2 linked regions of the Tribolium castaneum genome follow. The protein of the gene in region 1 interacts with the protein of each later gene in a pairwise test. Links are inferred from orthologs where the notes say so. Each region holds a gene or a part of one and is shown in the gene's direction. Other genes may lie near its edges.

The links.
Region 2: the proteins of 43 kDa receptor-associated protein of the synapse homolog (region 1) and guanine nucleotide exchange factor for Rab-3A interact in a two-hybrid assay, tested with the Caenorhabditis elegans proteins (2 studies listed by BioGRID). The link is inferred for Tribolium castaneum from reciprocal best matches to the Caenorhabditis elegans genes rpy-1 and rabi-1.

Annotation. Positions count from the first base shown.
Region 1 is NC_087401.1:7,883,996-7,888,491, forward strand, and holds the start of 43 kDa receptor-associated protein of the synapse homolog, read left to right. Parts: upstream 1-1,695; 5' UTR 1,696-1,857; coding exon 1,858-1,898; intron 1,899-4,496.
Region 2 is NC_087402.1:3,494,845-3,499,195, forward strand, and holds the start of guanine nucleotide exchange factor for Rab-3A, read left to right. Parts: upstream 1-1,369; 5' UTR 1,370-1,515; intron 1,516-1,547; exon of another isoform or gene 1,548-1,692; coding exon of another isoform or gene 1,693-1,821; intron 1,822-1,866; coding exon of another isoform or gene 1,867-2,056; intron 2,057-2,101; coding exon of another isoform or gene 2,102-2,850; intron 2,851-2,897; coding exon of another isoform or gene 2,898-3,062; exon of another isoform or gene 3,063-3,119; intron 3,120-3,239; exon of another isoform or gene 3,240-3,385; intron 3,386-4,351. Other genes in the region: Oseg6 (WD repeat-containing protein 19), read right to left, coding at 1-215, 267-744, 793-947, 1,036-1,050; lipase 3, read left to right, coding at 1,693-1,821, 1,867-2,056, 2,102-2,850, 2,898-3,062.

The DNA of each region.
Region 1 (4,496 bases):
GTTGAAACATTTTAATTTAAAACACGTTGCTATAAGAAACGAGTTTAAAAATAGTGAAAACACGTTGCTATCAGAAACGTGGTTTAAAATAGTGTTTATAATTTAGGATTTAGATATTAAAAAGAAGGCTTAAAATATTACCTGCAAAAAAATAAAATTTTGACTCTGAAACCAGATATTTCAAATTTTTAAACTCAAATGTTTAATACCAACTAAATATTTTATATTTTAAATGTGAACTTTAACTTAAGTAATAAAAACTTGAAATTTTTGTTTTTTATTTATAAATTTAAGTGCCAATACTAATTAGATAACTAAAATTTTATTTGTAAATGTATATTTGATAAAAGAAGTTGGAATTATAAATTTTGAATATAAAATTTTGACTTTGTGACTTGAAATTCGCACTTTGTTACACGAAAAAAAAAATAAATTTTGAAATAGACAAAAATTACAGCAAAAGTTTTCTGGTTTTAGGAATTGAAATTCCGAATTTTGTGTTAAATATTTGCTAGAAATTTTAATATATTTCAAGTGTCTCTAAACCTAAACTTGGAATTTTAACTTGAATTTCCTCAAAATCAAAAATTAACTTCTTTTTTGACTAATTTCTATTCCAAATTTTGTCTTGAACTTTGCGAAAACTTCTGAGAAATTTTGATAAACTCTGACAGTGTCACTTAAAAGTTAATAACCATTTGATCTTAATATTGAACCAAATGCTCGAGAGGCGGTTACCACGTCATAATTTCAAATTTAAATCCAAATAACTTGAGTTAGAAAGCAGATACAGAGAAACGGTTTTCACTATTGTAATAAGCGTTTTCAGTACTATCATTTAAGGCAAAGTTGTTTTAAGTTGCCAATGCCTTTAAATTTTTATTTTTAAAATTTTAAATCTGGGGTTCTGAAATTTGAATTTCTAATTAGGATATAAAAATTCTAGTCGATATCTACGTGAATATTTGACAAAAAATTTCAAAACCGTAAGATATCCAAAGTTTTATGTCTAAAAATACTAAAAATTTTAGCTTTCTGCATTGAAATTTGAAGTTTTACCATTGTATTGAAAAACTATTTTTTTTAATTGTAACTTTGATGTTCGGAATTCAGTTTTAAAAGGCAGAATTCTAACTTAGAATTTGTGAATTTTGAATTTTCATAAAAACTTTAAAAAAGTTTGAATTCTAACTTTGTGTCTAGAAATTTCGACTGTCTGAAGTTAAATAAATCGTAGTCCTGATTAATAAATTTGTAAATGTAAATAAAATGTAAAAAATGCATTTTTTCGCTTTGTTCGTGCTTGAAAATTCGATTGTGAAACTGAAATTTTCTTTAACAAATTTCAAGACCGTTCGGCACGCAATAAATCCTTCCCGCCCTTTCGATTTATAATCCTGAAACACCTGAAAAATCCCCGAACAATATCTTTTATCGCTCTTCAAACAGCAATCATCAATCACTGAAACTAATGCGAACACGTGGCGACATCCGGAACTTTAGGAATTCTCCACCTATTTTAAATCCACTGCTAGAATTATTAATGAGACAAAAATTCAATTTTTTTTGTCAAGGCAGTCGTAACAAATCGATCGGGTCACATCCTGAATTAAATCCTGCAGGATCCCGAAGCGATCCGACCTGGTCCTGGCCGCTTATCCTGTCCGACTTCCTCCGACATCCTCCGAAATAATGATCTGGTTGTGCTTCAGTCGGGGATGCTGGATGGTGGTCGAAGGGGTGTGTTTTGACGTCGTGTACATATTGAGAAAAAAACTCGATTTTTACGTTTTTTTCGTTCACAAAATCGGCCTATTTTTGCAAAATGCGCTTAAACAAATTTAGTGGTTGAACAGGATGTCGTGGGAATCGCTCAACTCGCACGACTTCACCAGGTAGTGGTATTTTGGCAATTACGCCCCTATTTGTACACAAATTCAAGCAGCTTTCTTGCGCAAATTTCTTTACTCTATTTCAAGAATTTGCCGATTGGATAACGTCGGTGAATTATTTCGGAAACAGCTGTTCTAGTTTTTCGATTTTTTTAAACAGTGGCGGCTCGCTAGGTAAAGTAATATTAATAAACTGTAACAAGCACTTAACATGTTTAAATCCTTAATTTTTTTGTTTCGTTACTTTCTAAGAGACGTCTCAAAGTAAAGTCAGTTTGTATCTGAATTACAAGCAAAGTTTGCAAACTAAGGGACTTTTCAACTAAAAATAAAATAAATTGCAACATATTTGATAATTTTTTGGCGTCTTACACGAAATTTTACGAAGGAAGTTTTTTTCTCAAAATATGAGTTACATCACTTTGTAAATACACTGTGTTTTTAAATGGTTCTTATCTAGTCGTCTGTGAAATTCTTATGTAAAATCAGAAAATGCCGCTTCATATAATTAAGGATAGGCATTTAGACATCGAATATTACCATTTTCCATTTACAAGTCTCCAATTCGAAAATAAGCTTCGATAATAAAAGTGTAACATTTTAAAGAAATTTTTAAAAGAAATTAATAAAATTTTACAACTGATAGATTTGACATCTATTAACAGAGGGTTCAATTAAGCAGAGCGGCACAAATTTTTTTTTACATCTAAACCAATTAACCAAGTTAACTAGATGAGAATCATTTAAAAACACATTGTATAGGTTCGAGAAAATTTACTTTTGATTTATTTTGGCCATTTTTGGCAAAATTTTGGACGGAAATGGTGTTATAGCATTTTCAACCTTCTCTTTGTGGTTTTGTTTTTATTTTAGCTAAATAAGTGAATTTTTGTCTGAAAGACGTGGTAACATTTATTTTCAAAAAAGGAAATCGTTTAATGTTATTTTTCACAGTTATTATTGATTAGTACTGATGGTAATTTCTCGACTTATGTGACTAAAAAATGGGAGTTGTTGAATGAAAAATATGTAAAAGCATTTGAACCAGGCAAATATACAGTGTATCCGTTTTTCGAGCTCTACCATGGGGATCACAGTTATTATAAGAGTACAAGGTTAGTTAAATTAGGGCAAAAATGCGCATTTATATGCTGAACAATTATCTCAAAGAATATTTGATGAGTTATTTTTAGTTTTTGAATTATTGATAAAAGTCAAAATTTTGCAATTTTCGTGTTTATTGTTTGACGCGAAAATTGAAAGAACTAGACATTTTTAAGTAGGACATTTTTCAGGAACTTGGTTACTACAAATCTAAATCTGTCATTATATTTTCCAAGGCGTTCTTGATGTCAGAGTTACAACACTCAACTTTAGTTTTTGTTATGGACACCATATTTGACACTTGTATTTTTGAATAGGCTTTTTCTTCCTTCTTCCTGATTACAACATGATATGGTCTAATCTTACATGTTAATTAAAATTAAGAAAAAAGCGTTTTTTGCACATCGTTGTAATCAGGAACAAATAAAACACTTTTTAAAAATACAATTATCAAATATAGCGTTTATAAGAAAAACCAGAGTTGAACCTTTGATATCAAGAACGCCTTGGAAAATATGATGATAGATTTAGATTTCTTGTAAAAAAGTGCCTGAAGAACGTCCTAGTTAAAAACGTCTGGTCTTTTGGTTTTCGCTTGCAAAAATGAAAACAAAAATTACAAATTTTCGTGTTTTTTTTTAATAATCTAAAAACTAAAAATGATACATCAAATTTTCTTGCAGATAATTGTTCAGCATGATAATGCACAACGTTGCCCTAATTTAACCGACCTTGTTTGTCTTATAATAACGGAGATCTCTATGGTTTGAAAAACGGATATTTAGATGTCCCAATATTAAAAAAAACACTAACGTTACGTTTTTCCAAATGGAACACCCGATATTTTATTGCATTTTGGATGTAGCTTTTAATACTGATGATTTTAATTTAAACTTGTATTGGTCGATTCTGCTTAGATTTCGAAATAATTTGATGTTTTTTGCCAAAAACACGTTTTATTTAAAAATTTATTACATAAAAACAAAGAATTCTATTAAAGTAGAACTTTGATCACTTTAAAGGGAAAAGTTCAAACTTAAATCTGTTCCAATTAGTTTAGCGCATTACAATTTATTGGAAACAGAAAAATTAAGAAGTTTGTTAAAAGTTGAATAACTTGAAAAGGTTAAATGGAACACCCTATTTTTTGTTCTTGCTTTTCAAAGATTATTAAATTATCTATCAAAAAACATAAAGTTTTAAATGTCTAAAGTTAATAACTAAAGATATGTCACTTTAAAAGTTATTTCTAGCAACAATGCAGACTATTCATGAACATTGTTGTAACCATAGCAACTCCAGCACAGACCATTTGTTGGAGTTTATACGGGAATTTAAAAATTTGCCATAGATATTAAAATTTTAGTTATTTCATTGTAATAAATGATGAATAATAGAGTAACATTAAAGTTATTATTAGCAGAAAATTTCACTTTTCGACTACAAAAAAAATAATATATTCTTTAAGATTGAACTTTCTTCTTTAAAGTGGTGAAAGTT
Region 2 (4,351 bases), on another chromosome or scaffold:
TTCCGGACCTGGAATAACTCCTGGCCCACTTCCTTAATGTGGGTGGAGATGGCAATAAAATAACCGGCGTTGAAGCCGATTAAAATATAACCATCTCCGAACCACTTATACGTAACAATAGAGCCATAATGCTGCTGAAATGCTAATTCAATGGGATTGTCAGGGTCTAACAAATTGTAAAGATAGAGAGTGCGCTTTCCCACAATTACGCTGACCTGGAATTAACAATTAACGCGAAATAATCAGCGGAAACTTGAAAAAATTACAGTGTTTTCGCCCCCCATGCGCTCGTCGAGCTTCATTTCCGAAAAATTTATTTCAGACGGCTCTGCCCGCAAATTGATCACTCTGAGCGTATCCCCGTCTACATTACTGATAGAAATTGTTTTATCCTCAGACCCTAGTGCGAGCAAATTCTCCGTGTTCCAAGCCCCACACGTGATTTTTTTCGCGTGCTTGCCAATAACAGGAGTGCGTCTAGAACCGACAATTAAAAAAACAAACAACAAAAAAACAACTAACTTTGATGTGTTGTGATTATAAATAGATATGTTTCCTTTGACCGTCCCCACGGCCAGCATGGGGGCGGTCTTGGCCCAAATCACGCACGACATTTGGTCCTTCAATCTCACATCAATTTGAATCTTTTTCTGGGTGTTTGCATCCCACAGTGTGAGTTGAGGTGATTGGCAAATTACCGCCAAGAGATCACCGTCCGAGTCCCACCCAAAACCGGTGCACAGACTGCAATTTTGGGTTTAATTAAATGGAAAATTGAAAGGAATGGGGCACCTGGGCAAGCGGATACGGTCCTGGATTTGTCCATAACGGTCGAAAATATTGACCATACAGTCGATCCCAGTCGTTGCAAGATACATGCCAGAGCCATTTTGCCATGTCGTGTAAATATCACCGGTGCCATGGGGCTGTTCCAAGCGGAACAAGAGCTAGAAAGGGGTTGTTTGTATAGGTTATAAACGACCGGGAAAAATTGCAACATGCAGGAGTTGCTTTAGGGAAAAGGGGTGGAAATACCTTTTCGCTTCCCATTTTTTGAATAATCAATGCGTTTAATGTTTAAAACACGATACAAACATTGTTGTTATTGATGAAAAAGCATTTTGACATTCGACAGACGCCAAACACCCATATCGCCAACATGAGGATTCAAAATCTGGTTTTTTAATTTGACAAAAACTCAATTTTTGAGATTATTCCAGTGAAACTGAAACGATCCATCGACGTGCACAAGATAATTATATGTAATTGTAATTTAACTGCATTAATTTAAGTCTCTCTTACTGTATGATTTAAGTTGCATTTTGCTTTGAAGTAAATGCATCAAGTTACCGTGAAATCACCAAACAAAAATGGCGGCGCAAAATTCAAACCAAGTCACAATTGTGTTTTTAGTTTGTTTAAAAATAGATAAAGGTTTAACGAAAATTAGCTAATCACAACAAATAGAGTGATTTTCCCGACTTTGGACCTCACGTCAGTGATAGAGCGGCCTTGGTGAGTAAAAACCAATGAAATTACACTTCTGCATGACTCACGTGGGGCTATCGTTTTTAAATGCAGAATTATTTTAAACCATTGAAAAAACTCATTAGCTATTCAGTTTGGCAGACTTGAACCGTAAAACTGGTTCTGTTGCGTCCAAAGTTTAGGTTAATTGTCATCGTCTTTGCGATGCATCGATTTTTACTCCTCGTCCTATTTTTACCAATTTTTCGTTGTGAAAACGTTACAAACAGTGTCAAATGTTCGTTTGAAAACCTCTCGGCTTGTCCTTACAATCCGGACGCCGATTTAGATACAGTAAGTAGTAATCCCGTCATTTAACACCAATTAAAACGCCCGCAGCCCCAAATCGCCCGAAGACATGGCTATCCGGCCGAATCTCACTACGTCACAACGGAAGACGGCTACATCCTCACAATTCATCGCATCCCAGGGCCTAAGAGCGGCCAACGTGGGGGCCAACCTGTCTTTCTCCAACACGGGCTGCTTTCGAGTAGCGCCGATTGGATAACGGCAGGGAATAACTCCCTAGGTTCGTACTTTCAGATTTTTGATCCAAGAGTTACGGTTTCATAAGGTTTTATATTGGCCGATGCCGGGTATGACGTCTGGATGGGTAACGCTCGAGGTAACACTTACTCCAAAGCTCATGTTACTCTACCGATCGAAAGCCCCCAATATTGGAACTTTAGCTGGCACGAGATGGGAGTTTATGATCTCCCAGCTGCACTCTACTACGTCAGTAACACAACAAACAAACCGGGCGAAATAATCTACGTGGGGCACTCGATGGGGACCACAATGTTTTTCGTTTTGGCTTCAACTAAACCACAAGCCGCCAAAAACGTAAAACTGATGGTAGCCCTAGCACCGGTGGCTTATATGACGCATGTGAAGTCCCCAATTCGGTATTTGTCGCCCTTTGCTTACGATTTCGAATGGCTGGCGCGATATTTGGGTCTGAATCAATTTCTGCCCAACAGTAAAATAATGAAGTTTTTGGGGTACGATTGCGAGTTGTTGAAAATCGATAAGGAAATTTGCGAAGACGTTATTTTCACTTTGTGTGGTTTTGATAAAGAGGAGTTCAATGAGGAGCTCTTGCCGGTTGTTTTGAGTCATGATCCTGCAGGATCTTCCACCAAAACAGTCCTACATTACGCGCAGGAAATCAAATATGACGGAAAGTTCCAACAGTATGACTATGGGCCCAATGGTAATCAAATTAAATATGGGACTCTAACACCACCCCAGTATAAATTACTCAATATTAAAGTTAAGACGTATCTAATGTACGCACTTAATGATTTTCTAGCGAGTTATATTGTAAGTGCATTCGGTAATTTTTTTTTTGAGTAATGGTGTTTTTTCAGGACGTAATTAGGTTGTCTCAGAATTTAACAAACAACGTTGGGATGTATCAAGTACCATTACAAAGTTTTAATCACGTTGACTTTTTATTTGGCAAACACGCCGCCAAACTAGTCTATGAACCGCTCATGAAGGTGCTGCAGAATTACACCGAGGGCGTCTATTAATGGCCAGTGATTTCTTTTTTTTTATTATTATTATTGAATAAAGTTATACAATAGAAACATCGATATTTATTCTGCCCCAAAATCCCTTTTTTATCCAGTATTTTACGATATATTTAGACCGCGCGCCTGAATAGAACTCTGTAGCATAGCTTTAGTAAAAAAATAGAAGATGGCACTTGCTGTTTCAAATCGAAAGCTCGCCCAAGTCCTATCGGAATGTGTCAAACCGATCCAATCAGAATTCAGAGTATGCTCGTGTATAGGAGTGTGTAAACATAGCATTGTGTGTCCCTCGAGAAATTACTGTTTACTGACCTCCCCGGGTAAGTAAAAGCTTTCTCGTCACGTAATTGTCATGTAAACAAAGCGCCCAAATCAATTTACAGTCAACTTGGAGATTTTTCCTCGTTGTCGTGTCACTAAATAATGTAATCGCAACACAGCCGTCCGCATAATATTTATGTCTTGTCTCACATTTGATAAATAGATAAGAGAATCTCGTTTCCTGCTGCTCCGCATTCCACACGGATTAGAGCTCGGACTCCCACTTGTAAAAAAAAATCCGGCAGTGGTCATGACGCAAGCGCGCTGACCGTGGATGTTTGTGATTTTTGAATAATTTCACGTGAAAAAAATTGTACAATTCCGTCTTTTTTCATGGACCAAGGTTGAGAGAAACGTGTGTGTTTACCGATTGTTTGTATAGCGATAATAAGGAAATTTGATTTTCGGTGCGGTTGTTTAATAATGCGATTAGCGTCGCGACGGCGTGGGGGGATTAAGGGATTTGTAAGTCGGAATTGCAAATTTTTAGCTCCGGGTGGGTAAGAACAAAAGGTAATTTCATGGGAAAGTCGAATGTGTTTCCGGCCGTTTTAATTTTCTTTGTGTTTCTTTTGCTGATCGAGTGAAAGATAAGGCTTAAGAATTACATATCACTGTTATCAGTGATTTATTATTGTTTTTGAAGTGATTCACTTTTTGTTTTCATGTGCACATGGAAATTGTTATCGGGGAGGTCTTAAGGGCATCTGAATTTTATTTTGGTTTGTCGTGAACTGTACATAAATTAGAAATGTCAAGGTTTTCTTGTTGCAGCGTTTTATACAAATTCATAATTCCATGAATTATGAGAATATCAATTGTTTGAAAAGTGAAAGACGTGATTATGTCCGGTAATATTTTAACATTAATTACTTTTGACGTTCCGTTGTGGTTCACGATTAATTGTAAGGAAAATTTTTGGTTTTTCATCGACTTTTTGTGTCCTCGGGGAATTACGTTTGCAA